Linked DNA regions of Alligator mississippiensis. The protein of the gene in region 1 binds, or shares a complex with, the protein of each later gene. Links are inferred from orthologs where the notes say so. Each region holds a gene or a part of one and is shown in the gene's direction. Other genes may lie near its edges.

The links.
Region 2: PPIL2 (region 1) and SNRPD1 share a complex: the UniProt entries of both Homo sapiens proteins name them as parts of the minor spliceosome. The link is inferred for Alligator mississippiensis from reciprocal best matches to the Homo sapiens genes PPIL2 and SNRPD1.
Region 3: PPIL2 (region 1) and SNW1 share a complex: the UniProt entries of both Homo sapiens proteins name them as parts of the minor spliceosome. The link is inferred for Alligator mississippiensis from reciprocal best matches to the Homo sapiens genes PPIL2 and SNW1.
Region 4: PPIL2 (region 1) and ARMC7 share a complex: the UniProt entries of both Homo sapiens proteins name them as parts of the minor spliceosome. The link is inferred for Alligator mississippiensis from reciprocal best matches to the Homo sapiens genes PPIL2 and ARMC7.

Annotation. Positions count from the first base shown.
Region 1 is NC_081833.1:14,803,592-14,810,890, forward strand, and holds the start of PPIL2 (RING-type E3 ubiquitin-protein ligase PPIL2), read left to right. Parts: upstream 1-4,287; 5' UTR 4,288-4,437; coding exon 4,438-4,469; intron 4,470-5,184; coding exon 5,185-5,234; intron 5,235-7,287; coding exon 7,288-7,299. UniProt on the Homo sapiens protein: Has a ubiquitin-protein ligase activity acting as an E3 ubiquitin protein ligase or as an ubiquitin-ubiquitin ligase promoting elongation of ubiquitin chains on substrates.
Region 2 is NC_081828.1:137,214,257-137,221,475, forward strand, and holds the start of SNRPD1 (small nuclear ribonucleoprotein Sm D1), read left to right. Parts: upstream 1-4,148; 5' UTR 4,149-4,286; coding exon 4,287-4,300; intron 4,301-4,931; coding exon 4,932-5,008; intron 5,009-7,219. UniProt on the Homo sapiens protein: Plays a role in pre-mRNA splicing as a core component of the spliceosomal U1, U2, U4 and U5 small nuclear ribonucleoproteins (snRNPs), the building blocks of the spliceosome.
Region 3 is NC_081825.1:263,413,004-263,420,002, reverse strand, and holds the start of SNW1 (SNW domain-containing protein 1), read left to right. Parts: upstream 1-3,923; 5' UTR 3,924-4,012; coding exon 4,013-4,026; exon of another isoform or gene 4,027-4,298; intron 4,299-4,500; exon of another isoform or gene 4,501-4,608; intron 4,609-5,081; coding exon 5,082-5,235; intron 5,236-6,999. UniProt on the Homo sapiens protein: Involved in pre-mRNA splicing as component of the spliceosome. As a component of the minor spliceosome, involved in the splicing of U12-type introns in pre-mRNAs.
Region 4 is NC_081831.1:12,291,333-12,298,648, forward strand, and holds the start of ARMC7 (armadillo repeat-containing protein 7), read left to right. Parts: upstream 1-4,293; 5' UTR 4,294-4,373; exon of another isoform or gene 4,374-4,454; intron 4,455-4,925; 5' UTR 4,926-4,940; coding exon 4,941-5,007; intron 5,008-5,712; coding exon 5,713-5,856; intron 5,857-7,316. UniProt on the Homo sapiens protein: As a component of the minor spliceosome, involved in the splicing of U12-type introns in pre-mRNAs.

The DNA of each region.
Region 1 (7,299 bases):
CAGGGCTGCACCAGGTTCTTCCGGGGGGGTGGGGCTGGGCCAGGCTGTGTTTGGGATGGGTGGCGGCAGTGGTGGGAGGGGAGTTATGGGGGTGGCTGCAGCCACCCCAAATTTTGCCGTAGAAACACCTCCCCCAAAGACCTCCCAGTGCCATTGCTGCCCACCTTGAGCGTAGCCTGGCCCAACCCCTGCTTCCCTACATGCCAGAAAGAGCCCAGTGCAGCCCCAGCCTGCAGCTGCAGCCCCCTTCCCCTGCGTAGATCCAGGGGCACCTGCCCCGCCCCATGCCTTCCCAGGGTACACGCAGCAGCAGGAACGGCCCCACTCCTGCCCTGCACCCCCCAGATGAGCTGTGGCTCCATCCTGTGCCTACCCTGACCCAGCTGAGCAGCACTAACCCCTGCCACAGCCCCATGCCTTCCCTTACCACAGGGCCCTTGATCTGCACCCCCCACACCCCTTCCCTCCCCCCTCCCTTTCTACCACAACAGACTTACCAGCTGCATGCAGCTCTCCAAGTTGCTGGACTGTACTTGCTGCTTGTGTGCTGCACTGTGGCTATGCACTTACACGGGCATTTATCAGCCAAATTATTGGCCATATCAGGCCGATTTCCGATACAATCAATTTTTTTTACATCTGTGCTGATCCAATATCGGACCGATGTATCGGTGCACCTCTAGTATGTGTTATAAACCACCAGACCAGGAGGGTGAGGTGGATGAAGCCTTCTTCAGACAGCTAGTGGAAGTTTCCCAATCACAGGCTCTGGTTTTCATGGGGGACTTCAATCACCCTGACATCTGCTGGGAGGGCAATACAGCAGTGTGCAGGCAATGCAGGAAGTGTTTGGAGAGTGCTAGTGGCAACTTCCTGGTGCAAGTGTTGGAGAAGCCAACTAGAGGCCATGTTCTTCTTGACCTGCTGCTCACAAATAGGGATAAATTGACGGGGAATGCGGAAGTGGATGGCAACTTAGGTGGTAGTGACCATAAAATGATAGAGTTCAGGATCCTGAGGAAAGGAAGGAAGGAGAGCAGCAGAGTAAGGACCCTGGACTTCAGAAAAACAGACTTCGGCTTGCTTAAGGAACTGATGGGCAGGATCCCCCTGGGAGGCCAGTCTGAGTGGGGAAGGAGTCCAGGAGAGCTGGAGTTTATTTTAAATAAACCTTACTGAGGGCACAGGAATTAACCATCCTGATACACAGGAAGACTAGCAACTATGACGAAAGACCAGCTTGGCTTAGCAGGGAACTCTTCAGTGAGCTAGAACACAAAAAGAAATCTTACAAGAAGAGTATAAGAGTATTGCTTGGGCACAGAAGGATAAAATCAGGAAGGCCAAAGCACAATTGGAGTTGCAGCTAGCAAGGGGTAAGAAGGGTTTATATGAGTATGTCAGCTGCAAGAGGAAGATCAGGGAATGTGTGGGCCCCTTACTGAAGGGGGAGGAAACCTTGTGACATGATGTGGAAATGGCTGAAGTCTTCAATGCCTTTTTTTACCTCAATCTTTTACCACAAGCAAGGTCAGCTCCCAGGCTGCTGCACCTGTCAACACAGTTTGGGGAGCAGCCAACAGTGATGAAAGAACAGGTTAGGGACTATTTAGAAAAGCAGGATGTTACAAGTCCACGGGCCTGAACACAATGCACCAGAGGGTGCTAGGGGAGGGGTTGGCTAATGTGATTGCAGAACCACTGGCCATTATCTTTGAAAACATGGTGATTGGGAGAGGTCCCAGACGATTGGAAAAGGGCAAATATAGTGCCCATCTTTAAGAAAGGGAAGTAGAAGGATTCAGAGAACTACACCCTACAGCAGGGGTGGCCAGTTATTTTGGGCAGAGGGCTGTTCACTGAGTTTTGGCAAACCATCAAGGGCCACATGACAGGCAGTCAGGGGCAGATGAATATTAATTTTCTAAAATTTTTAGGGGCCCCGTGGGCTGGATAGAATGGCCTGGCGGGCTGCATTTTGCCCATTCCTGCACTACAGGGACTGAGGTGATGCCTCACCTTAGTCCCAGAAAAATCATGGAGCAGGCCCTCAAGGAATCCATTTCTAAGCACCTGGAGAAGAAGATGATTAGGAACAACCAGCATGGATTCACCACAGGCAAATCATGTCTGACCAACCTGGTTGCCTTCTCTGATGAGATGACTGGTTCTGTGGATATGGGGAGAGCAGTGGATGTGATAAAACTTGACTTCAGCATGGCTTTTGATAGGTCTCTCACAACCTTCTCACAAGCAAACCAAGAAAGTACAGGTTGGATGAATGGACTGCAAAGTGGATAGAAAACTGGCTGGATCATCAAGATCAATGGCTTGATGTCTAGTTGGCAGCTGGTATCAAGTGGAGTGTCCCAGGGATGGGTCCTCACGTTGGTTTTGTTCAATATCTTCATCAACGACCTGGAAGATGGGATGGAGTGCACCCTCAGTAAGTCTGCATATTACTTTGGTTCCAAAGAAGATGGAGCTAAACTGTTCCCAGTGGTGGTAGATGACAGAACAAGGACCAAAGGTGTCAAGTTGCAGCGAGGGAAGTTTAGGTTAGATATTAGGAAAAACTCTCATGGGGAAGGTAGTAAAGCAGTGGAACAGATTACCCAGAGAGGTGGTGGAATCTCCATACTTAGAGGTTTTTAAGACCCAGGTAGACAAAGTCTTGCCCGGGATATCTAGTTGGGGATGGTTTTGCCTGAGCAGGGCATTGGATTAGATGACCCCCTATCTTTTATAATCCTCTGAGCATCTTTGACACCCTTATGTTAGGGGAAAAATGCGAGTGGAAGAAAAATGCTTCAAAATTAAAAATGTTCCAGGCCCAATTTAAACATGAAGAATCAAAACAGGATAAAAGTCTTTACTGGCTTGAACTTGCGTTCTTAAGATTGCTTTGTGAGCTGTCTATTTAATGACCCCTACATCTGGCACAAAAGGCAAGAAGACTATTGGTGGCTTTTTCTAAATCTGATCTAATCTACAGGGTTTTTTCCTTTATGATGCTTGTGGGTTTTAAAATAGCAGTTCCACATCCCAATTTGTTCTTTCCCTTTTTTTTTTTCTCTCTCACTTTCCCAGAGTCCACCACAACATCAATCTGGTCTTTGATCTGATCTCAGAACACATTCTCAAGGAGATTCTCTTGGTGATAGTGGCTGCTGGCTCATACAACAGGAACCACAACACTAATTTCTGGGGCAAAAATTAAAGTTGGATGGAAATGAATAAAGAAATTACCACATACAACTAAGGATTCTGATAATTAAAATGGCAAGTATGTGTACAGTGCAAATGGGTGAATTTATGTTTTCCTTTGATGTTTGTACTCAGTGCCCACTAAAAGACTTTGTATGAATCAAACCAAGAGCCTCCCACTCTCAGAAATCTGAAAATGCTGGACCGTCGTATGAAACAGTTTTGAAACTGCAATAGAAAACCCAAAGCCAGCTGGGTCAAAACCAAACATGGATCTGTGTACCGCTGTGAATTTGAAGCCTTCAGCCACATCATGGTCTTGTTGGACTTTCCGTTAATTCCAAAAATTAACCTCGGAAGTGGCCAAGTTTGACCTCGGGGCTCAACACCTGAGGCTTTTACAAACTGTTGAGGCTAGCAAGCAGTTGGGCTTCCAAAGTAAGAAAGCTTTTGCAGGTTAATGAACTTGTTTTCTGGAGCTGATCATCTTGATTGCATAAAAGGATTTTAGTAACGCATCTGTTGGGTGAGAAACAGGAAAACTCCCTTAGTCATGTAGGACCTCTAGTGATCAGGCTAGTCCAAATGGAGCACCGGAGTCTGGCCCAGGGAAGAAGCAGAGGGGAAAGTCCTTTCGTTTTAGCTGGGGAGCAAGGAGTGGATGGACAGTAACATTTTAAACGAGGTGTCTGGTTTCATAGGGACTTTTGTGTCTTCTATTGACTAGCTCACCATCGCGTCCTGCTGCATTTTGAATGAACTTGCAAGTGGAGAAGAAAAAGGAGAACGTATAGGAAGAAAGAATTCAAACGTTTTCGCGGTTTGGTACACAGCTGTTCTGGGCAGGAGCTCAGTTTACAGCCCAAAGCGACCCTGCCAGGAAAAGCAAGGCAGCCCCCCCGGGGCGCCGGCTGCAGGAGGTGGCGCAGGGCCCGGGCACTGCTCGAGCTGCACGAGACGCGGGGGCAGCCGCCGCTGCAGTCATCGCCCAGGCGGCCGGAACGTTCCCTCGCGGCGCCGGCTTCCGGCGGGGCCCTGTGCCGTGGGACGCCGCCTGGCCGGAAGTGGCTGCAGCCGCGGCCTTCCGGGCAGGAGAGGCGTTTCGCAGCCCTCGGCTCCTTCCGGCCGGGCTCGCCCCGCGCGCACCCGGGCACAGCCAGGGGTCCCCCGCCGCGGGCGGGCGGGCGGCGGTGTCTTCTCAGAGCAGCCCCCGCCGCCGCCGCCGCCGCCATGGGGAAGAGGCAGCACCAGAAGGATAAGATGTGAGGGGGAGGGGCGCAGGGACCGTTGGGCTGGAGCCGTTTGGAAGGGGGGGGTAGAGGGTGGGCAGGTGATGGGGGGCGCCAGCGTAAATACTGGGGTTGGGAGTCTTGTCCCTCATAGCGGCGAAGGGGAGCACGAATCACGAATGGCACCTCTAGGTGCCAAGGACAAGCTTCATGAAGGAGCTTTCTCCACTGGACATACTTCCGAGTTGTTTTATTTGCACCACCTTTGGGAGCTTTGCTAGTGTCGGCCTTCCAGAGCGTGCAGGCTCCGGCAGCTCCGAGAGCAACGGCTGCCGGAGACCACCCGAGGAAACGCTTCAGGCCTCAGAGCACCAGTGTGGTTGTGGAGGCTCGTTGTCCCACCCGACGGGACAGCCTAGGATGCGTGCAGCGGCATGGCAGTGCTCCTGGGGCAGGCCGTGGTGCCACCGCACTTGTTGCTGCTACAGGATCACCCCAAAGTGGCACTGAGCATCGGGTGCCAGTTGTGTTGTCTCTTACGCCAGGCCAAACATCGGGGCCTCATGATGCCGACTGCCCCAGTGGGGCTATGGAGGGTGAAGAGGTGAAACCTTGGGTAGCTGAAGATATTTTATTTCTCAGAATGGCAGTCCCAGCGAATAGCAACAGTTCCTTAATATCTGCTAAACAGAGTTAGTGCTATCCCGTAATGCAGCCAGAATTGACTGTTCTCCTTTCTTCTCTTTAGGTACATAACATGTGCAGAATACACAAACTTCTATGGAGGAAAGAAAGCAGGTAAGCAACTGAATGCTGCGCTTAATTATTTCAGTGTTTACTTCTGGTGACAGTTCTTATTTTGCAGGCTTGTTCTCACTTCGCCGTTGTTCCATCTGGAGCAGTGATCCCCGCTGCCCGTGCTTCCTTCTCCTTCCATCAGCCCTCAGTAACTTCTCTCTGAATCTGCTCTAACAAGTTGAAAATATATTCCTCCTATGTATACACAGTTCAAGATTTGTCTTATCCCTTTGATGCGTCTGCTGCCTTTGACATTGATGGATGCACTCTCCTTTGCCACATCCCATCCTTGTGCTCTACGATCATATCCCCCTCCTCCTCCCCCTCTCCCCCCTGAGGTTTCATTGTTCATTTCCCATCTTATGTTCAATGTTTGTTTCTCTCTGTTGCCCTACTTTGTTAGAGTCTTTCAAGGCTTTGTTCTTAGCCTTTTCTCTTTCCCTGTATACCCTCATGCTGCTGTGCAGTTAGCTATCACCTTTTTATTGTTGCTATTCAGGTTCTTCACACTGCTCATCTCCTGTGCCTCAGTCTTGCATTTCCTTCTTTCTGTTAGACCACCCTGGATAATTCACTGCCTTTTCAACATGGGTAGATGTAAATTCCTCCTAAATCCTCTGCAATTCCCATGTTTTCATCTGTGGTTGTCTTCTTCCCAGTTATCCTAAGTTCCTGATGCCAACTGCCTGGATATCTCTCTAACTCCAACCTGTTTCTCTCTTCAAAAATCAGTCTTGTCCAAGCCTTGCCATTCTTTCCTCCTCTTACTTTCCTTTTTTTTTTGTCCTCCAACTAAATTGCTTGTCCATGGCCTGAGTGGGCATGTCTACACGCGCATTTAATTCATAGCAATAAACTCCAACACACATCGCACAGGAGTTTATTCCTCCCAGGCCTGCTGTTTGAATGTGTGCCCAGGACCTCATAAAGTTGAGCCAGACCGGAGCAGCCCTGGCTGGCATGGGGCCCAGGGGGGTCATTCTGCCAGCCTGGGCCTGCTCCCATCTGGCTCAACATGCTGCAGAGGGGCAGGCTGGAGCACAAGTATGCTCCAGTGTGGGGCTAGCCAGTAGGCAGCCCCTGCACTAAAGCACCTTCATGCCCTAGCCAGCCGGGTCAGCATCTACAGATGCATTGTTGCTTACAAAAAAACTGCAGCAGGATAGTACCTGTATTTACAAGTACTAACCTGCTGTGGAGTTCAGTAGTTTCCTGCAGCCTAATAGGCCACACATGTAGACACCAAGACATTTGCTGTGGAGCTAATTGAGCAACTCCACAGTAAACATCTTGTGTAGACATGCCCAGTATCTCCCATCTACAAGTATCTTCTCCTATTCCAAAATGTCCTCACCTCAACCACATCACCCCCATATTCCAATTTTGGCTTTCTTTACTGATTTTATGTTCTCTGTTAATTTTTTTTTTCACTCTTGACATTGAGCCCTGTTTCTGCTTTCCTCTGCTTATTGTAGCCATCTTTGCAAGTAATATCAGTAGAAAGGCCTCTTTTTGTATCTTTTTTCACAGACATTTCTCTCCTTTTCTTCTGGCTACCACTTGTGTTTGGAATGTCCTCTCCAAACTTGTATACATAGTGAATCTGATAGCATTTGGTATATTGTCAATTTCAGTGTTTCTTCTTAATAATAAGTCAACTTCTTTTGGTCTTTGGGTTTTTAAAACAGCAACAAGGGGGAGTGAGTTTAAAAATGAGGTAACATGGTACAAAACCACAAACAAATGGAAAGGGAATAAAGATAAATCTGGAGCTATTTGAAATGTTGGGCTTTATTCATTTGCATACTGTCCTTTTTAGAGCACACTTGAAGTTCCAAAGATATTGATGTACAAAGTGTTGGCTTTTGTTTATAGTTTTGCAGGATTTGGAATGATTATTTTTGTTACCTATGAATTATTACCAGATGTACCAAATACTGTGGCTTCCAAACATGTATCATGTAGGGTTGATTAAAAATGTCTGAAGAACTGTTAAATATTCAAATGACTGTTTATTCAGAAAAAAAAAATGTTTTATGTTTTTTGCAAACAGATATTCCACAAG
Region 2 (7,219 bases), on another chromosome or scaffold:
GGTCTGTGGTGCTGCTCATGTGTCAACATACCCAGATGTTGGAGTGTTATGATAGACTCAAATCATGTTCTGAGCTAATATAACTTCACTCTAAGAACAGGGAAGTGGAGTTTGCTTTCTAGATTTTACAGTTGAATTTCATTTGTCATAATAGTCCATGTGAGCAAGAGTCCTATTTGTATACATATCACTCTGTTTGCTCCAAACTTAAACAAAAATGTGTATTAATGCTTTGTTTAAAATGTGTGTTGTCTTTTGATGCAATATTCAATTAAATCATTGTTAGGGAGGGAAGAATAAGAAAGTGATTAGACATTTCTGAAGCAGCAAATGTCGGCACTGCCTAAATATTGCAGTCTTCAGACAATACTGTATTACAGTTTGACAGCTTAAGCACGATTCAAATTCAAATACAAGTTGTCTCAAGATATAAATGAAACCTAAGAATGTAAAACTCCTTCTACTGTGTTTATTGAACCCTCTTATGCTAAAGGTCCAAAGTACTACCTTATTTTAAGAACAGTCACCATGTAGAAGATGCACTCCACATTGTTTTTTGTTAGTCACTGCTTCTATACATTTTGGGGTAACCTGTGGAAGAAAACAACTCTGGGGAGATGGACTTCTCTTAAATTCCATTTTTTTGCACTTGGGAGCAAAAGCAACTTGCTTTTCATGCATGATGTTGTAACACTTCTTAAAAAAAAAAAAAAAAAAGACTAAGGTACAAAAATAATTTGTGTTAGTTATCAATAAATGTGTGTCTTAAATTTAGTGCTTCCAAGCTGTATTTAAAAAAATAGATAATCCTAATCAAGGACCAATTTTAAAATATTTTGCCATTTTATTTTATATGGTTTCAGGAAAACCAGACATGAAATTTGCTTAAGACGCTGTGCATTGTTTAATATTTCTTGTAAGTACAGCTGTATATTCATATTGCAATTATGAAGTTTAAATATTAGAAGAAAAATGTAGAATACTAGGGTTAGCACAACTGTTAGTCACTATTGAAACTAGTACACAAAACTGATGCTGCAGTGTATCATTGTGTTATGATTGAAAATATGTACAGTTTTTTTGCAATGGTAATTGTTCATTTTAACCTCAAATGTTTCTGAAGGCCTCTCTGGGTTTTGTTTTTAAACATTACCTGTTATCTGTACATTACTTATACTAGTAAGGAAAAAGCAAAATACCTGTCTAGCTTTTTAGATACTATAATGGAAATATCGGTTGATGGTTGAACTGGAAATTTCTCTAACTTAATCTCAGACATAACTGCATAATAGATAAGCGTGCATCATAGCTTAAAATAATGATTGGAAGGTCTCACTAGCGGGGCATTTTGAAACGTGGCTCAAGTAAATCTTCTGTGCATCCTCTGTTTAAGAGTTTGCAACAAAGACCAAACTTGAATGGTTAATGTACCTATGTAGCAAGACCTGATGTATGTTTTGAGAGTTGGAAGGGTGTCTCTCCTTCAGTACTTTGCAAAGTCTGTATTTCTAAATTCACATATGGTGTACTCCATAAATTACAATAAAATTTCAATCTTTTCTAGATTTTTTTTTTTTGGTCTTTTTTTCCCTTAGAGGTAAATATTTTTAATTGTACCTTATAGGCAAGCAGCACTCAACAACACTGGAGGAAGGCCTAATGGGGGGGGGGAATACAAGGTCCTACTATTTTGCACTTAATTTTAATGGATGATTAGTATGTGAAAATTCTCAAATTAGCATAACAATTCTCTCTCCTTTTTGGAAGCAAGCCTAGAAATGAGTTAGTTATAATAATTTCCTCCCCTTAAGCTTGTTCTGTATTGCCTACACAAGTGTGAGGGGTGAAGACTAGTACTATGGTTGGTTTCTGTCACAACCCAAAGTTGTGGTTTTTGTTTGTGTGTGCTTTGGCACCGCTAAATTATTGTTCCCGCCTAAATTGTAGCTTTCTTTGCACGGTAGAGTTCTCTGCTGCGGGAGAGAACTCTGGTGCAACAGGGGATTTCCCACCAATTTGCAGCTTCTTTGCAGGGTGCATTTCTTTTGCATCTCAGAGATGTACGGTGCAAAGGAGTTCTCGCCATTTGTATTCAGATTCGCGCCACTTTATTGGCCGGCTCTGAATGTAGGCACGCGTGGCGGCTAGCTATTGGCTTGCTAGCTGTACAAAAGGCTCGAGTTGTTTCCGCCCAAGTTGGAGGACTCCACGAACACCAGGAGGAGGAGACTTCACCCAGTGTGAAGATCTCTAAGCACTGCGGATCCTCACGGACCCAACGCGTCTCAAGCAGGCAATAAAGGCTTAATAATCAAGCCCCCAGAGCTCTAACTACTCTGGAGGGAAAAAGGAAAAAGAACGAACCGCCTCCAGCCTCTCCCCGTCGCCGAGCGCAATCCCAGACGTATCCCTTTCCTGTAAACCCAATTTTTGAACCCACGGAGCCTTAACAACTCCGGGGGACCAGGGAACCGAACTGAGCCCGTGCAGCTTCAACAACTCCGTGGGAAAGAATTGCCGAACCTGTGGAGCCTAAACAACTCCATGGGAAGGAATTTGTCGTAGTCTTCCAGCGAGGATTTAAGCGGAGCTGCACCTGGAAAGCTGTCCAGCCTATACCACTACCATCTTTGGGTGTAAGTAAATAATCTTTTCAATCAACCACTACGCGTTTGTGACTGATTCTAGCTCACCGCTGGTTTTCTCCGACCCCGTGTGCCCGGGCTGCTGGCCACAGCCCACGTGTGCAAAAGACGGGCCACGGATCGCCCCTCCCGACTCGCACTTGGCGGCGGGATCGGGGCCTGGCCCACACAGTTTCTTCTACGTTTTTGCTTTATATATCCTCTTTTTAACAAAAAACGTGACCAAGGAAGTGACTACTCATACGTCCTGTATCAAAACACTCACTCCTGCAACATTTTAAAATGTATTTCAGTGTTTCTGTAGATGTTTCTGACCATCTGCAGGGGAGGGGTGGGGTCAGAGAACTGGAGCATCTGAGGGGTACGGGGAGAACTAGAGTATCTGACTCATTAAATATAAAAAAATGAGAAAGTAGTGTTTTTTTGAAGGGGCTGGATCCACCCCTTATTGAAAACCAGCAGTTTAGTATCTGACCTGTGACAGCTTGACTAAAGAGAGGAAATTTATTTCCACAATTTTTGTTTCCCCGACAACTCTCATTACTTGCTGTCAGGTTCTTGTCCCTTCCCCAAAAGAAACCCCCCCCCCCCCTTTTTTTTTTCTTGTGGATTGGTTAAGAATGCCAAGGAGAGGTCTGCACAAGGGGGATATTGTGCACTAGCAAGCAGGTGTTCTAGCTGCCTGGCTTCCCAGCACTGGACCCAGGACTTGGGGAGCCCCCCCAGGTAGGGAACCCCTGACATTCCCAGAATCCAGGGTAGCCCCTTGCTGAGAGATGGCCCCCTCGGCCAATCAGCAGCAAGAGGTATGTCTCCATGACCAATTGGCAGCAAGGGCTGGACCTATAGGACCCTTTGGCCAATCAGTGACAAAGGGTGGAGCCATCACAGAAAAAGGCCTTGGCCCCTCTCCCTGGGAGCCCTGCTTTTCCTAGCTGTGCCCTGACCTAGCTCTAGGCACAGCCAATAGAATGGCATGGACAAGTGAATGTCATGTATTTCCACCAATTAAATGAAAACAAGATGGGGGGGGGGGCAACGTTTAAACCAAGGAGGGATGCCCTCCCTGCTCTTAAGTTTTTTCCATTTATTTATTTTTTTTTTTTGTAATAAGACAAAAGTATTTGGCTGCAGCAGGGTTTGGCACTGGGGCTTCCTATTGGAAACCTCCGGGTTTCTCCTACAACTCCCGTTCATGCCACTTCTGCCCCCTCCGCTGGGACCCGTTGTCCTCCTCCTCCTCCCCCCCGCCCCCGCACTGGGCTGAGCAAGTAAAAGAAAGCAGTCAATGCGGCCGGCCCACCTCCTGCCCGGATTCAAGCTGGGGCACGTGACTGAAGCCCGCCACTCGGGGGCCGAACCAATCCGGTGTCCTCTGGCCTCCACTCCCGCCCCGCCCAGGAGTCCACTGCTCACGCGCGGCGCTTGCAGACGCTGCTAGGCCTCCCCCTAGCCAGCAGGTGGCGGCCGCGCGTTCACACGCACTTCCGGTGCCGCTTCCGCCCATTCATTTGTTAGTAGCTTTTGCCGCTTCCTTGGCGCGAGCCTCCGGCGCGGCCTGGTCTGAGGCCTCCGCACCGGGCTCAATTTTTTTCTCTTTTTTTCTCCGGCCGTTTGCTTCCCGCGGTCTCGGCTGCCGCCATGAAGCTCGTGAGGTGAGGAGGGCCCGGATGGAGCCGGATTTAGGAGCGGGCCCCGGCGGCGGGGAGTGGCGCGCGCCGGGCCTGGGCCTTTCCCGCCTCCTGCCTCACACCCCCAACGCCCGCTGCCCCTCACGGAGCCTCGCGCTCCTTGTCTGCTCCTTTCTTCCCCCTCACCTGCCCGGGTCACACTGCGCCGAGACCCCCGCGAGGGGCTTCGGAGCCCCCCCAATACACGCGCGCACACTGCGCATGCACATACGGCCCCGCGCGCCGGCTGCTCCCAAGGTTCGGTCCCATGGACCAAACTTTGGGAGCGGCCGACACGAGGCCGTATGTGCAGGGTGGGGCACACGCACACATGCATGTCCCCTGCCCCAGCAGAGTTGCTGAACTCAGGTGGGGGGAGTTGGGATGTCTGCCCCTGGGGTGCCCATTCCTGCCTTTGTTGCACCTGCCTGAAGGTCCCTGGCAAGGGGCTGCAGGTCCCTGATGGATTCCTACATTATTGGGTGCTGCTTTGAAGCCCCCCAGCATCGTTAATGTGTGCTCATCACGGCCTTGCCGTGTTCCATCGTTAGGATGTGTTTTTAACTGTGTGTTGGGCACAGAAGATGTGTGTGTTTACCTGTGGTTCGTTCCGCAGGTTTCTGATGAAGCTGAGCCACGAGACTGTCACCATCGAACTGAAGAATGGCACGCAGGTGCATGGCACCATCACAGGTAGGAGGCTCCAGTTGTTGATAAAGCACGGCTGGAAAACCCCCTCTGTCTTCCCAAGCAACTCCACCGCCTTCCCTAAATATTGATGTTTCGGGACACCTCTTGTGAAATGTCTGGTGGCCAAGTTCCTGCGATTGCATCCAAGCACTAGGATAAAGAATGTCAATTCATATTTTTTATTTGTGTATCAGTGCTGGGTGTTCAGGTAATAAAGATGTCTCATGTAAAGGTTAGCAGTTGGTCCAGAAGACAATGAATGGATGTTTTGGACCTCTAATAATCTAGATCTCGCCCAAATACAGATTGTTAGGGCTGCCCATAGTCGTGGTCATCTAGACTCCCTCTGGTCTCCTTTACAATAAGCAGCTGTTGCTAAATGCCAAAGGAGCAGAGATTTGCAGTTTTTTGGATGCTATTTAGAATAATAAGTATCTTCTTTATGGGAATCCTTACCAATCAGTTCTGTTATGTTCTGTGTCTCCCTCTGACCTTCTGCTCTCGTGTGTGCCTGGTGGCCGTTAGTGCTGTCAGCTCTGATTATGCTGCCCGTCTACATCATTTGCTTTCCAGCATGTTCATTAACATAACTTACCCCTCTTGCTAGAAATTGATGCTTGCAGTCCGTGTCTCTGTCTGGTTTTACAGGTAGCTGGGCTCTTTTTTATAAGGGAAGGGGCTCTTGCGAGAGCCTGGCTGCCTGTAGAAGCCACTAGGGCCATGGAAGCAGCGCGCTAAGCTAGCACTGACCTGCCAGCGGTTCTCATAGACTGCCATGAAAATGCTTCGAAGACTCTGGTTTACAGATCATAGATAGTCATGGTAATAAATCAAGAAGGAAGAATATTATTTTCTAATATCGTTTAACTTTCTAATGAGTTGTTTTGGGAGATGCTGAGAGCTAGTGGGTTGATCATAAGAACCAGGTCTCAACACACAAGTGGCTGTGGCAATATCCCTCTTGGGTCTTGTTTACACACAAACTTGCACTGGATTAACTAAAGGCACGTTTACAAAATTGATTTAAACTTCTCCACTTAAAGTCTTACCAACATAGTGAGGATGCTAAGGGGAGAAAGTCGTCCCCCAACCCTTCCACTTCATAATTATGTCAGTAGAAGTGTTTGTGTGCATATAGTTATGCCTGCTTGATACATTTTTTCATTTATATTTTATTTTACTTTTCCAAATGAATAAACTGTAGCCACATACAAATTTTGATGCAGGTATGGGCATCTGCAGCATGGGTTTTTGCCTCTCTTACTTTGTAAGCATAGCTAAATGGCAAAACTTTTTAAAGTAGTAAAACCTTAGTTAAACCAGTACAGATTTGCAGGGTGCTCTAAAACCTGATCTGTTTTGCTACACTTGTATCACTATAAAAGTATTTCCAACTTTAGCAGTGCTTCCAGGCTTAAAGGTTAACTTTTGTATGGCCACAAGCATTCACAGCTGTAATAGTTGCATCTTAACAGTAGTAGCACACTCCCCAGGACTAGCTCCCCTTCCACTTTTAGAGGAGCTAAAATTTTTGTTTGTTTATATTCCTCCTGGCCATAATCCTGTTTTTTTCACAATCTTATACTACTTCAAAGAACCTGCAGTTTAAATGGGCAAGGCAGACGCAGACTGTAGGGGGGGGAAGAGGTACTGGGGCAGAAGCCAAGTGAACAATGTGAGGACAGCAAATGATGAGGGGGTGTACAAATGTGGAATGTAACACAGTTTTCTTAAATGATCACTGTATGGAACACACCATCTCTTTGTGGTTGAAGTTCCTGGAGATGTAGCTGGTGTTTCAGTCTGTTGGGCTGTCCTTTAATGGCTGGGCCGCAGAAGAAAGTGACTTTCTGTTGCTGCGAGCTGGGTAATCAGTCTTTTGCATTAAATGTGAAAGACCTGTACTGGAGGTTCAGGATTCTTGCATTTTTAATGATGGGGGAGAGGTGTTGTTTCAAGAACAAATATTAGATTTGCTTTTATGTAAAAATATATAGGAAATGGTATACAATTGTATATATAGGAAATCCCAGAATTAAGAAGGTTGTCCATTAATTTTGTCTCCTTTATCATAGCACTTACATGATTGGGCTATTTTCCCTGCAGAGCTACTGCCTGGATCCAGTGATAGGATGAGCGGTGCTTAAGGAACAAATTAAATTTATGCTGCTAGTGAGATGTGTTGAGTGAGGTAGGGGACTCCAGGAAGAGAGG
Region 3 (6,999 bases), on another chromosome or scaffold:
TTTGGCTGAAGTGCCCAGAATAGAGTACAGACAGTCAGTCCTCCGACTTAACGACACAATGGATTCCTGAAAACCCGGGTCTTAAGTCGAAACGTTGTAACTTGATGCCAATTTTCTCATAAGAAACAATGTTATAAATTGGGGATTGGTTCCTGATACCCTATTTTCAGTCAAAAATACCCCAGAATTTTGTACTCAATCAATTATAGATGAGTAATATGTATATAATGTATTTATATTGTAAATAGGAAACATATTGATTTGGAAGGACGTCTTTGAGGTGACTTTGCTGGACTTTTTGAAAGGCTCTTGGTTGGACTCTTTGATACCCCTGGGCTACATAGTAAACCTTTCCAGGCATGGATTTTTTTATTACCTTGTATCTAAAACAATGCCTGACACAATGCAGCCCTGCTTTCTGCCATGCCTTAAGTACCAATATAATATAAGCAGTAGTAATAATTAATAAATAATTAATTTTGTTCTACTGACTTTATGGAGAACTGGACTCTTCCATCCCTACTCCCAGCACTACCTTATTTCATGATGAACTTCTTTTAGTAAAACTGGTCTACCTTCCACAGGCTAATAGAATTTACTGTTTTTTTTCTGGGGGGGTTTCCCATGAACAGTTTTCTTTATCTAAATCTCAAAAGATTCCTTCTCTTTCAGCCTCTTGGAAATTTGAATCACGGGAAAAAACCTCTGTGGAGGTATGTGAATGTATGCCCAGTACACACATACAGTGCAGCAGCTGGCATTTAAATTTAGTACAAAAGATTTTTTTTTTACTTTTAAGCCTAGTTAAGAACATTTTAAATGTGACAGAGTTTCATAATACTGATCATAATATTTACCACTTACATAGCACTTTTCATCACTCTCTCTATCATTCTCTCTCTAATGCATCTATCTGTGGTATCCAGGTACTAGATATCAAAATTAGCAAAGAGCTTCATTGCAGTCCTACTTGCACAATATATTCTGTCCCTCCCTGGGACACTTTGTCCTTCTGATAGGTAATTAAAAAGTAAAGTTGCATGGCTTGTTGGGAGCTTTTTATAAAAGAGGCCTGAGAAAATATCTGAATATTTTATCAAGCTCCCATCCTTCAGAATCTCCACCTGATGTAATTTTTAGGGATTATTCACATTTTCTGGAACATTTCTCCCAGCAGCAGCAGCTTGCAGATACCAGAAATATATCAAGGGGGCAGGAAACTATAATTTTGGCTCATTTTGTTGGTACTTCATGACACTAACCTGGTCTACACTATAGTTACATCAGCTATAGGGACACAGCGTTGAAAAGATTACAACCCCTACTTGACATAGTAATGCTAGCAAAACTGCTGCTATGGATGCCATTATGCAGGCAGAAAAGGGCTTTATTGGCTTAGCTTATGCTAGTTCAGGAGGTGGTACAAATATGCAGGGAGAAAAACCTTTGGGCTGATATATGCAGCATCTTCACTAAAGCAGTGATTCTCAGCCAGGTGCTGTGGTACCCTGGGGTGCTGCAACATGTTTCTAAGGACATTTTAACATGTATGCATCCTTCTGGAAGTGGCCTGGCATGACCTGTCTGTGCCTTGCATAGGGGTCTTGTGGAGCCACTCAAAGCATTCAAAGTCAGGAGAGGCTGGTTGAGCTGGCTTAGCCTGTACTGGGTGGTGTTGGTAGCCCCCAGTGCCTATGGAGAGAGAACTGGGGAGGATGAGCCAATGGAGAATGAGGTGCAGCTTCTCACAAGGAAGCAACAGTGGGAGAAACAGAAGCTGCAGATTAAGGGACAGGTACAGACATGTGGGGCTGCGGGGCCAGTCTGGGAGCAGGTGTGGAGCTGAAGCTTGGGGCTGTGTCCTAACTGAGGCACTGGGCAGTTTGCATAGGCTGTTTTCTACCTCTCTCACTCAGGCTAAGTGTATACTCACTGGCTCCCAGCATCCTAAATTGTCTCCAATAGCTAGACCCTACATCCAAGCTGCAGAAAAAGGGGCTTTCCTTGGGGTCTTGCAGAAAATGTCTCTCTTCCTGAATTGTTTGTGGGAGAGTCTGCTGCTGCCAGTGGTGACGTGTAGGGGGTGCACGGGGGTGTACATGCACCCCCTGAAAGCGCTGGGGCACCCCCTGACAGCAGCGTTCCCAGGCAGGGGGGCAAGCGAGAGCACTAGTGCCCCCCCTGAGAGCACTGGCTGGGGAATGTGCCAGGAGATGTGGTCCCCCCGTGGCTGATCCCACCAACCCGGAAGTGCCAGAGGCACGCCCGAAAGTGCCAGTGGTGCACTTTCAGGGTGTGGCAGGGTAGGGGTCTGCAAACCCTAGTCCCTATCCTGTAGTGAAAGCACTGTACCCATGTAATTATGGGGCTGGGACCCTGCAGTGGTCTCATTTTCTGACTTCTTGTGTTCCTACAACTTCTCCCACGTGCTTAAATTAAAACATTATAAATAATTTTTGTGAAGAGATCTCATCTAAGGTAAAGAAGCTTCAGAAAAAAAGTTCTAAACCTGTCACCACTTATAGGATTTTGAAAAGGGGCACCACTAAATTCAGAACTGCAGTGGGGTGCCTTGATCTAAAATGGTTGAGAGCCATTGCACTAGAGATGGGGGGCTCAGCCCATGGGCCAGATCTGGCTCCTGGTACCACATCATCTGGCCTGCAGGGCTCTCCATGGGTTTGGAGTGGGAGTGGTGGCACAGTTCCCTTGCTGCCAGATGTCTGGACCTGTGGGGAGCCCTGGGCCCTGCACTCCAACCAGTGTCCGTGGCCAGGCAGGGGCTGTGCCAGGCCTCAGGACCTGCTCCTGCTCCTGCTCCTGCTCCTTGGGGCAGGGAGGAGGTAGTGCCAGGCCCCAGGCAGGGGCCAGCTGAGGCCCTGTGGGGCCTAATGGCAGTGTGCAGGGCTTCTTCTGGCCTATAGACCAGCCCTATGCCTCTCTTCTGGCCAATGGGGTCAAAAAGCTTGAACATCACCACGCTAGAGGACCCTGCAAACACAGGTATGCCAGCCCTGCGCCAGTGCCACAGGCTGGCTCCGTACTGAAGATAGGGCCATGGTACCCACCACGGATCAGGTCCCAGAGCTCAGTGCTATGAGGGTGCCCAACAAGGTAATGTCACAGTGAAGGCACTGCTGCTTGGGGCCACGCAATGCTGCCATCTGTCATGAATGATGCGAAAATGCCATGATCACCATAGAGGTTTTCCCAGGGACAGAAGATAACCACTTTTCTGGCATGGGGTAGTACCTACAGAGGTAATATATACTCTCCCACTTCAATTTTCAGTGGGAAGATCTTAGCTTTATGCCCACTTGATGGAACTGGGAGACTCCTCCCTAGCTTGCTCCTGAAGCCATATGGCTGAGGGCAAGCAAAACCTGGGGGGATCTGAACCCCAAGCCTCTGGGCTTGGACCTGCACATAGGATGCCTGCCAAATAATTTGTAAACATCTGAAGCCCCAGGTGGGGTGGAGGATGTTTGCTGGTAGTAGGGCCACATATGGTTCTTGAATAAGTCATGGATTTGGAATGGATTTGTCTGATTTGGCCTGGAACATGAAAATGTTTCCTTAAAAAAAAGAAAAAAAGATCAACCTTTATTGGACCCCACTGTGGTGCACAAGAGAGGCTGGGCTGAGCCTGCAACTAGCAGACGCCCCTGAACAGCTCTGCAGCTCTGGTGCAGAACCCAGGCCCCATCCTGCACGTACTCCCCAGCCCCGCAGCTCTACAAGCCCAGCCCACAGTCCGGCGCCGAGCAAAGCAATAGCCTTTTACGCATGCGCAGTGGAACACTGGAGCCGCCTAGAGTCGTTAGCGGGACCAAGATTCGCGCCGAGGGAGCCTTCAGCCTGTGCGCCTGCGCACTGGATCATGTGACCGCCCTGCGTAATAGAGACAAGAGACTACAACTCCCAGCAGCCCTTTCGCGCCCGCGCCTGCTCGGTTTGGCACCCGGCTTCGCCGCACGGCCTGGAGCCTGGTGAAGAGAAAGGAGGAGACAAGATGGCGCTCACCAGGTCGGTGTGGTCGGCCGAGTGCGCCCCGGTGCGGGGTCGGGGCTCTCCCCCGCCCTCCTCGCCTGGCCTCAGCGCTCCTTGGCTGTGGGGGAGTGGGCTCCAGCCCCGGCGCTGCTCCAGGGGCCCCGGCCCGCAGCTGGGAGCGCCCGCTTCGGGGGCAAGCGTCACCCCCGGGGCCCGGCACCGTTGGGGGGCATGGCCGGCACTGGGCGTCCCGCCCTGGGGCGGGAGAGCCCCTTGCCGCCGCCCTGTCCTGCGCGAGGGCAGCCGCTCCCCTTTCTCTCCCCTCCCCCCCCCCCCGGCTTCCCCGAGCAGGGGGTGGCTGGTTGCTCGGCGGGAAGCGCCCCCCCCCCCTCCAGTCCCGGGAGCGGGCATACCCCGCTGCGCCCCGGGAGCTGCTCTCCAGGCTCCTCAGACCCTGGCAGGGTCAGAAGGGGCCTTATTACCAGGCAGGCAGGCAGCCTCCGCAGGCTTCCCCAGAGTTTGGGATCTTCTGCTTCTGTCCAGAAGGAAGAGGGCACTAGTGCTATGGAAGGGGGAAGCCCTCCTTGGGCCTAGTGCTTTGCACCACACATAATTAGGGTAGAAACAATTTTCTTATTTTTTTTTCATTAAGTCACTTAGGTATGGAAATGCTTGAAACTTGGATATTTTTCACCTTGTTGTCAAGAGCAGTGGAAAGCATACTTAGATGCAGACTTGTGTAGGGTTTTTCAAGTTCGTTATTGCCTTGCTAAAGAGAAGGTAGATATGGCTCCTGCCCTGGAGCCAGGGGGGTGGAAATGTGGATGATGGTTTTATCAAACCCCATAGAAATCTTTTGGCCTGGTGGGGAGAGACTGTGTTCTCTTCTCCGTTTAAATTCCAGAGTAGCTGCTGCATAACTGGAAAGTGAAATGCTCAAGTGTTGTACATTGCGTATGATCCAATACAGACCAGGGACAGATGAACAATTGTTTTGAATACCGTAGTAGCAGAATCAAGTACTGCATTCAATCTCAGGCATGGAGAGTGTGAAAATATAAGATTAAAATTCCTTCTCCCATTTTTTGCAGTTTTTTGCCAGCTCCAACTCAGCTGTCTCAGGACCAGCTAGAATTAGAAGAAAGAGCAAGAGCTCAGCGATCAAGACAAACAGCACTGGTTTCATCACGCAGAGAACCGCCTCCATATGGTTATCGGAAAGGATGGATACCACGAATGCTGGAGGTAAATATTTGAATTCATGCTCTAATGAAGTCTCTCCCCCTGAAAAATAAGTTTTGTTCCTCTCTTTTTGAAGCAGAGGTGAATTCTGAGCACTTGGATTATATCATGGAGGATTGTGTGAGCCTGGCTGTGTGGGAATTGGCTGTATATTCAACAGGCTAGGTGGAAGTGTGTTTTGTTTTTTCATTTGGTTTATAACAGCAAAAGCTCTGTTATGCAGCACCCATGGGGAATGGGGGGTGCTGGATAACCAAATATGCTGGTTACCTGAGAGGCATCTTTGCCTGGTCAGACTGGTGCCAGGCTTTCACTTGCTGGCATCAGTGTGCTGTGCTGGGGGACAAGAAGGGGGCCATGCCCCAAAATTGGTGAAGTGGACTTGGTGAAACTGGAAGTGGGACTTCCAGTTTCACTTTTGCAGTGTTGACCAGCATGCTGGTTAATAGAACATGCTAGTTAATAAAGTGCCGGATAACATGGCTTTTACTGTATTGCATACTTTAGAAACCTCTTAGTTACACTGTATAATGCATTCTTTATTGAACCCTCCCCAGTGGCTGGTGGGGGGTGTCGCACAGCCAAATGCAGTGTGGCAGCTGCTGCTTGCAAGCTTCCCCCTCCCCCCCTCAGATCTGGCTGGGCAGGTGGTGCTCCATTGCCACCTGCCCATGTGTACCCTCTAGGGCCTTCTCAAGTACCCTCAGGGGTACGCGTACTCCCGGTTGACAACCCCTGCACTAATATTTATAGCTCGCTTTTTCATAGCAAATTTACCTGTATAGTATTTCATTCACCCTTTGGGTTTTCACAAAATCTTCCATGTAGTTCATCAGTGTAATATAAAATATATTCCACTACAAATCAGCCCAAATGTTTAAAAATGACCATGGATAAAACTGGATGAAAGATGAAACTGGATGAAAACATTGAATGAATGATTGAAAACATTTCATGGATGAAAACACTGAAGCACCTCACTGGGAATGCTTCATGTTGCATTTGTCCTCCCTTACAAGATTGTTCTTAGCATGCTGGGACAACTAATACTACATGTGCTTTAACTGTTACTGACTTATGATACTGTTACTGACTCAGGATAGCCTAGCTCAAGATATCAATCTCATCAGTTTATTAAGTGCTTTAGCATTTGTGTATTATATGAAAGGGGGAATAATAAAAAGTATAGGGGTCTGTAATTCTAAACCAAGTGATAGTGCATGTCATGCTGGAGAAATCTGATAACTTGGAATTGGGCATTCTTACTGTGCCCACTATAAGCGTTGGCAGGAAATTTTAGTCATTTAGCAGCAGAATAAATTTGTCTTTTTGGGGAAAAAAAATTGCACTTTTTTTGTGTGTTAAGTGGTAAATACAGATCCTCAACAGAAAGCCTGTGAATCTTGTGCCTTTCATAGGTCCACAAATGCTTTTTATTATAGTGGTAAAGATCACAAATGTTAAATACTGATTCGCATATGAATCCCTCTCCAATTTATTATTTGTATCACTGGTATGATAATGGATGCATATTCCAGTCAGGACAATAGACCCCTGTTTAGTATAACAGATAATTATAGATATTTCTCTGAGGGAGATAAATGCATATTAGTGGCTTCTATTTAAAAAAACAAAACAATCTAAATTCTGCTACCTACCCAAACAGTATGCTGTGGTGCAGGGTAACTCGGACATTGACAATGTGCTGGAAACCAAGGCAGTTCCTGCTTCCACTTTATACTGGAAAACACTGACAAAGTTATCCCA
Region 4 (7,316 bases), on another chromosome or scaffold:
GGTGGCAAAAACATAATAAAAAGTCCCCCTTGCTTGGAGAACAAGAGGACAGGAAGGGGAGGCCACAAGCTCTAAAGATTGAGAACATAAAGAAAAAGAAACCCGTAACAAAGGTTCCTTTCATTAGCTTAAGGTCATCCAATGATGCAAGGCAGCCCCACTTAATTACCAAGCATAACTGGTTTTTACCGACTTCCCATAGACAGTCAAGCTGAAATCAGCTTTAATTATATACAAACACTAGTGCCTCAACCAGATTATAAACTACTAGAACCTAGGCAGAACAAGGAGAATTGGCCAGGGACACACACCCCTCCGAGGCCCCTTTGCTCTGTTTCTGCAGGTCTCATCAACCTTTGGGCTCCTCCGCACTTTTGCAGTAAGCGTGTCTGTGTACGGCTGTGGCATACAAACCAGGAAGTTCAGACTTAAATATTCAAGGATTCTAATCAAACTTCACATTCTCACTGATATTTAACCAATGGAACCATTGCTGCGGTCCTATAAAAACCAGAGCTGAGAAGGGTGACATTCAGACACAATCTGTACCATTTCAGCTGTATTTAAGGCACTAATGACTGTAGAATCAAGCCCATCCCTAGATTGCCATGCTGGAGACTGGGGTGATACACACATGCTACAACCTAAAACTCACCGAATTGCAGCTGCAGGGGCTACCCCTGTACATGCCTCCTCCATGATATCATCCTGGTTGTCATCAACTGTCCTGGCAAACACCTGGCAGGGACAGCAGTCAGACTTCGAAAGGCTCTAACAATCCCTAAGATAAACAGCAAGTGTCACATGCCAAAAAGATGAGCTCATGGGATCCAATTCTGTATGCTGTTGAGCGGTCTGTAAAGAAAACCATGGCAGTGAGCCAGCTTAAAGGGGACAAATGCACCCACTCTCCCAACAGGTCTTGTCAAGAACGTGACTAGTATTGTCTGTCAGCCTCCCACAAATCTTACATTCAAGTTCTCCAACTCAGAAGCCAGGTGAACATTGTCTCACCCACCTCCCAGGGGGTAGCAGCGCCACCACAAAAACATCCCCCCACACACACCTTCATGTTTAGAGGATGAACATGAGCAGCCAGGGCGATGCTGTCAACAGAGCTAATAGCATATGGGATGCATTAACAGATGCATCACGAGCAGGGCTAAGGAAGTGATACTTCCTTTCTACTCAGCGCTGGTGAGAGCCCAGCTGGAGTACTGGGTCCAGTCCTGGGTGCTGCACTTCAAAAAAGATGTGGACAATCTTGGAAGGGCCACAAGAATGATTAAGGGCCTGGTGGACAAACCTTGTGAGGAAAAAGTAAGGGATCTGGGACTGTTCAGCCCGGGGAAGAGAAGACTGAGGGGGGACTTAGTAGCTGTCTATAAGTATGTAAGGGGTGTACATCGGGAGCTGGGAGAAAAACTGTTCACTAGGGTACCCCAGGGGAGGACAAGGAGCAATGGCCATAAACTGTTAGAGAATGGTTTCAGGTTGGATGTAAGGAAGAACTTCTTTACAGTAAGGGTGACCAGATTCTGAAACAGACTTCCCAAGGAGGTGATGCAGTGTCCAACCTTGGAAGTCTTCAAGAGGAGACTGAACCGACACCTTGGTGATCATTTGATCTCAGTAGTATTCCTGCCCAGAGCAGGGGGGTTGGACTCAAGGATCTTTCGAGGTCCCTTCCAGCCCTTAATTTCCATTGTTCTGATTCTAAATCAATCTGGGCTTATGTCAAAGCAAGAGAAAGACCTCAGAAAACAGATCTAGTGGGTCACAGGAAGACAAGCAAAGCTGGGCCCCTCACCCTGAGCTGATAAGTGATTTTCCCACTCACTAAGCATTAAATAATATGACCTGAAGTGCATCCCTATAGCACATATACTAGCAAATCCAGCTAACGCAGGCTCAAGACATGTGCGCAAGAACAGAAGAGTGATAGTCTCTCTCCTTTTTTCCTCTGTGCAGAATTACAGACTGAGGGACCACAAGTTCAGACCTAGATACCCTCTTCCTTCCCTGCTCCTTCCCCCCCCTCCCATTCAATCCAACTCCCCTCATCCTTCTCTCCCCCCCCTCCACTTCACTTCAGCATCATTTCACCTCCCAAACTCACCTCAGTGGGCTTCCCCCTCCCTCACAGCCTCACACTGGCCCCTGAATTTACTGCTGCCTTCTGCACACCACTTCTATTTCTAGAAACCTCAGCAAGAACAACAGATCTAGTTCACACCAGAAAAGATTTCCCAGTGGACTCGTACCAGCAAGCCCTCCTGGGCAGATGCTGCTTGGACCAGCAAAACAGGTGCTTTTGCAGCATAGCTATGACCTGCTCCCCAAATAACATAACCCATGCCAATGAATGCATTTTCTTCTGGTAGGGCTCTGTGCATTAGGGCTTCTGCTGCTACAGAAGTGTCTAACTCAGTCATTAACAACTTGGTTGACATCACTATATCCATGGTGGTATTGGGGGAGTACAAACTTGGCAACTGCACTGAGCTCCAAGTTGGACAGAGACCCTTCTTGCATTACAACAGTTTTGGTCTGGTTGCTTAAAAAGCACAAGGGTCCGAAACAGACCCACCACCTAGGGCCCCTCAAAAAGATGAACCCCACCACCGATGACACCAGCAAAAGTTTCAGCATAGGCTTGCCCTCAACCTATAAGCTTGGGTAGAAGTACCACCGTATCTAACTGGCTACAGCCAGGTCATTTGGCATCATCTGATGTGTAACTCAGTACTGCATTTAACTCGTTTCATCAATCATTTGTCTCTGCAATGAGTTCCCTGCTTCATAGTTTAAGCCATGCCCACACTCTGGAGCTGCACTCATTTAGCTTAAATGGGTTTAAAAATGAACTTTAACCGGTTTCAAATTACTGTCAGTTAAGCTGATGCAACTCTGTATTCAAACCAGGGCACTGTATTGCTAGCCTGTCGTGGCCTCCCATGTTTCTGTCACAGCCCAGGCTTCACTCCACTTTTTCTGTTCTCATTCACACATCTGGAGGTGCCAGTATTGTTCCCACTTTGCAGTCTCTGCCTTGTCTCTCTCTTTTAACTCTTGTTCTGACATTTCCCTCCCTCTCCCGCTCCCTGAGCATCTCAGCCCAATGATACATTTCAAAAACACACATCATTCCTCCCTTTCCCACCCATGCACGCACTGCCCCTTCCCTGTGAATTTTTGCTTCTCAAATCCGTTTCTCTAATCATTTACTGAAGTAAAGAAAGGGGGAGATGCTGGGATAAAGACTTCTGTTTTGTCCAGGGTAAGTAAATCTTGCGCTGCCCGGGCCTGCCAAGAGGCTGATCAATGTCATGAGTCTGGGAACAAGCTGTTTGTTCTCCTAGTAGTGACTCAATGAAGCGATTACAAACAATTCAGAGAAGTTATGGGACAAGGGACAAATAGTCTGTACTAGGGAAATACAAAGGTGAGCAGGTAACTAACACCGAAGAGAAATGCTGACCCTTCCGAGAGGGTCATTGAAGACTCCACCGTCCAGAACTGCAACGATTCTCCACGACTTGCCGAGTCTGAAGTGCAAGTACTCATCTCCTGACCAGGGAGAGTGGGCCCTTCATTTTTTCAAGCAAAAAATATAGGCAAAAAAACCCCTCTCTCATCCAGAGCTGGAGGCGGGCTGTGAATGTCACCCCAAGCAATCTTCAGGGGTCAAGACTGGGTGTTTTATGCCTGAGATTTTCAGTCCCACTTTAGGATGAACCATCAGGCAAAGACACTGGCTACACGTCTTATTGGCTGGGCAGAAGGTGTGCAACACCCACCCAGCGGAAACAACAGGCTAGAAAAACTCCTTCAAGCGGCATGTACGCTCATGCATGCAAAAATACAGCCGAGCCGTTCGAGCCCTCGTATATCAGCTCGTGACAGAAGTGGGAATTATTATGATTCCATTTTCCAGACGGAGAAGCCAAAATGAAGAGGGTCACCTCAACGAGGAAAGCAGCCGTGCCCCGGCAGGTTTAGCTAGTGAGTACTAGTCAGTGAGTACTAGACCTTTTCCCCAGTGCAGATTCAGGGCAACAACCTCCTATGGTGCAATCCGTGAGGTGAAGTAGGTAAAAGGGCTCTGCCAACACCTGGCCTGGCCCAAACCCAACTCTCCTCAGTGACCGGGGGAGGGGGCCGAGCTCCTGCTCCTGGGCCCGCAGCGCTCCCGCCCCCAGGCCCAAACCGGCCCCGCCCCCACCCGGAGACACAGGAACCACTTCCGGCTCAGCGCCTTCGGCAGCCACTTCCGCCCTTCCCTGAGCGTCCCTATACGTCACTTCCGCCCTCTGTCCTGCAAGGCGCGGGGCGCCGCTGTCCCATGTGAACCCACTCCTGCCCTGCCGCCGGTTCGGGCCCCGCGCGGTCCTGGGCGCAGGTCCCGCCATCCCCGGGCCCTTCCCCTGCCGCTCTGCTTTCTGCTCCATGGGGTGTGCTGCCTGCCTGCTCTTTTTGTTCCCAGCCCTAACTGCTGCTCTGCTTTCTGTGCCCTACCTAACCAGCTGCTCTTTCTGCTCCCAGCACTGTGCTCCCTGCCCAGTCTGCTGCTCTGCTTTCTGCTCCCAGCCCCATCCGCTGACCGGCTTGCATGGCACGCCCACGCAGGTTGGCCACACTTGTCCTGGGAGAGCAAACAATGCTTGTGGGGGTCAGCCAGGGAACCTGCAGCTGTCCCCAGCCCTGTTCGGGCCCCGCCGTGTTTAGCGGCAGCCCTATCCAAGCCTTGACCAGGTTAACATTTGCCAGAGGACCCCGTGAGATCCCCCTGGGGGGTCTGAAGGGACTCCAAAGAAAATCCAGGGACTGTTTAACGCTCACTCAAACATCTTTGTATTAATCTAGCAGCGAAGATGGGAGACTCTAGGGCCCGCCAAAATAAAGCCCTGTTGTTCTCTTTGCAGGATCAGTAGGATCCAATGGATCTGGGGCGGCTCGAGTACCTGCAGGCCCTTGTCACTGAGTTTCAAGTGACGGAGAGTTCAGGTGAGACTGTGGGATGCAACTTTTTATTTTATTAAGGTGTTTGCTGAGCTTCCGGGTCAGCTGGCTGGTCTGCACGGCTCTCCCTTGTGCACTGCGTGGACAAAATCAAAGGTCTGCCCCAGTCTAATAGCGGGGGTGACACCCCAGGACTGGCACACCATCTTCAGCAGCCAGCAGCACACAAAAAGACAATGTGGCTGGCATTACCCATTCAACACCACAGTCTGAATGACCAGGTGCCCATTTCCCACTGTACCAGCTGGGAGCATCCTTCAGGATGAGCCAAGAGCAAGGCTTGAATGTGAGCCTGTAGAGCAGTGATTCTCAGCCAGCATGCTGTGTGATCCTTATAAGGGTGCCATTGCAATGACAAATCTACAGGAGTCACAAAATAAACCCAAGAGATTTCAAATAGGAATCCACAGCGTCAAAAGCATTGTGACTTGTTGGGGTCTTTCTGAATTCTTTGCAACAGAAGAATTGCTGGATTGTTTTTTCCGCAGTCAAAAAAATGAGCGCGAGGTGAGTTAGCATTTTCCATGGGGTGCCTTGAATTAACCAGTTTGAGAACCACTGCTCTAGGGCCAAAGTAGGACACTGCAGCAGTATAGTTACTCTGCTACCACATCATAGTGGATTCAGTTACAGCTTGTCCCCGTTATCAGTTGTCCCTTTCCTGAATCTGAAGCTGCTTTTATGTTGCAGAAGCCAAGGAACAAGTACTGGCTAATTTAGCCAACTTTGCCTATGATCCCAAGAATTATGAATATCTCCGGCAGCTTCAAGTCCTTGACTTGTTCCTGGACGCGCTCACGGAGGACAACGAGACTCTTGTGGAGTTTGCAATTGGTAAGGATTATATTTAAACGCTTATCGAAGTGCTAATGGAGCACTAGCAAGTCATGGGATGCCAGCCTCACGGCTTCGACCCAGTGGTCCATTTGAGCTTTGGAGAAAGAACGAGCCACTGCGACAGAGATTAATTGTGCTGTTTAATGTAATAGTGGATGGCAGCCAAACATAATGGTGATAAGAACCTCTCTAGGATACAGTAACTGGAACAATGTAAGGGGAGGATGAGAGAGCAGGAAAGGAGGCTGGGGCTTGTTATTTTAGCTTAAGGCAAGTCTCCCCTTCATTTCAGTAGCATGCTGCAGTGCTAACAAAATACATATTTATAGGACTAGGCCAGTCCCTCAATACTGGAACAACAACTCAATTCTAATAGTTATTTTTAAGGGAAGTCTCTGTTGCATAAGACAGTCATTGAGAACAGCTAAGGTTTTGCCAGACAGCCTGTGGAAGTACAATATTCATTTGTTACTCTTGCTCTTGTCAGCAGTTAATGGTAATGATTTATACCAAATAATACAATCCTATCACAGTGAGTCAGCATGGGCTAAATATAAACTTGGGAGCCAGCAATGTCAGATTTTAATCCCAAATGGCAAACAGGGTGAGATGATTGGATAATTAAATACCCTTGGGTCCCATCTATATTACAACTTCCTCTGGCAAGACTTCAGGCAAGTAGCACACACTGTTAGTGTGGGATGCCTGACAGGTTAGTACTGTCCTTACCCATGCACCATGTAACAGATAGTAATCAAATATTGCAAACACAATTAGTACTGACATACTACTTTTAATAACACCTTCCATCAGTAGATCACATAATTAAGCCTCCCTATACCCTCTGTATGAGGTAGCAAAGAGATTTCTAGAAACCCTTTTATTGATTACTGGATTGTAGCCACCTCTGGGATGAAACAGGATAACTGCTCAATTGAACTCTTTGGACTGTTAACCCTCTATTTGTAAAAGTTGCCATGAGATTTCTAGTGACCAGGGTTCTGTCTCTCCTATGAAAAAGACGTTACCTCTGACAGCACAGTGCCCCCTAATGCCATAGAGAAGAGCAAGTGTTTTGGTTGAAAACTCCCTTTGAGGAAGGACATGAGAGTAAATTCAGACCAGGAGGCAGATGATATACACCATGTTAACGCTTGTAAAACAATGTTCTGAGCATTTCTTTCTATATTGGGATCTGGGTGTCAATGATGTGTAAACCCTTGCTTAGCCTTAGGGATTTTATGTACTTTATACAATTGCTATTGCATTATTAGAACATTTCATCCCCAGGATTTAGATGGCTGAAAGGTTTGTCTCTCACTGCTCTAGAGGAAAGTCTCTCTGAAGGATAGGCCTAAGTCAATAGCAGCTAAAGCAAGATATCTTGGGTAACTTCCCCTGCCCTCCACCCCCAAATATAGGCATGTTCTTACCCAAACTTTCACCAAACTAAAACA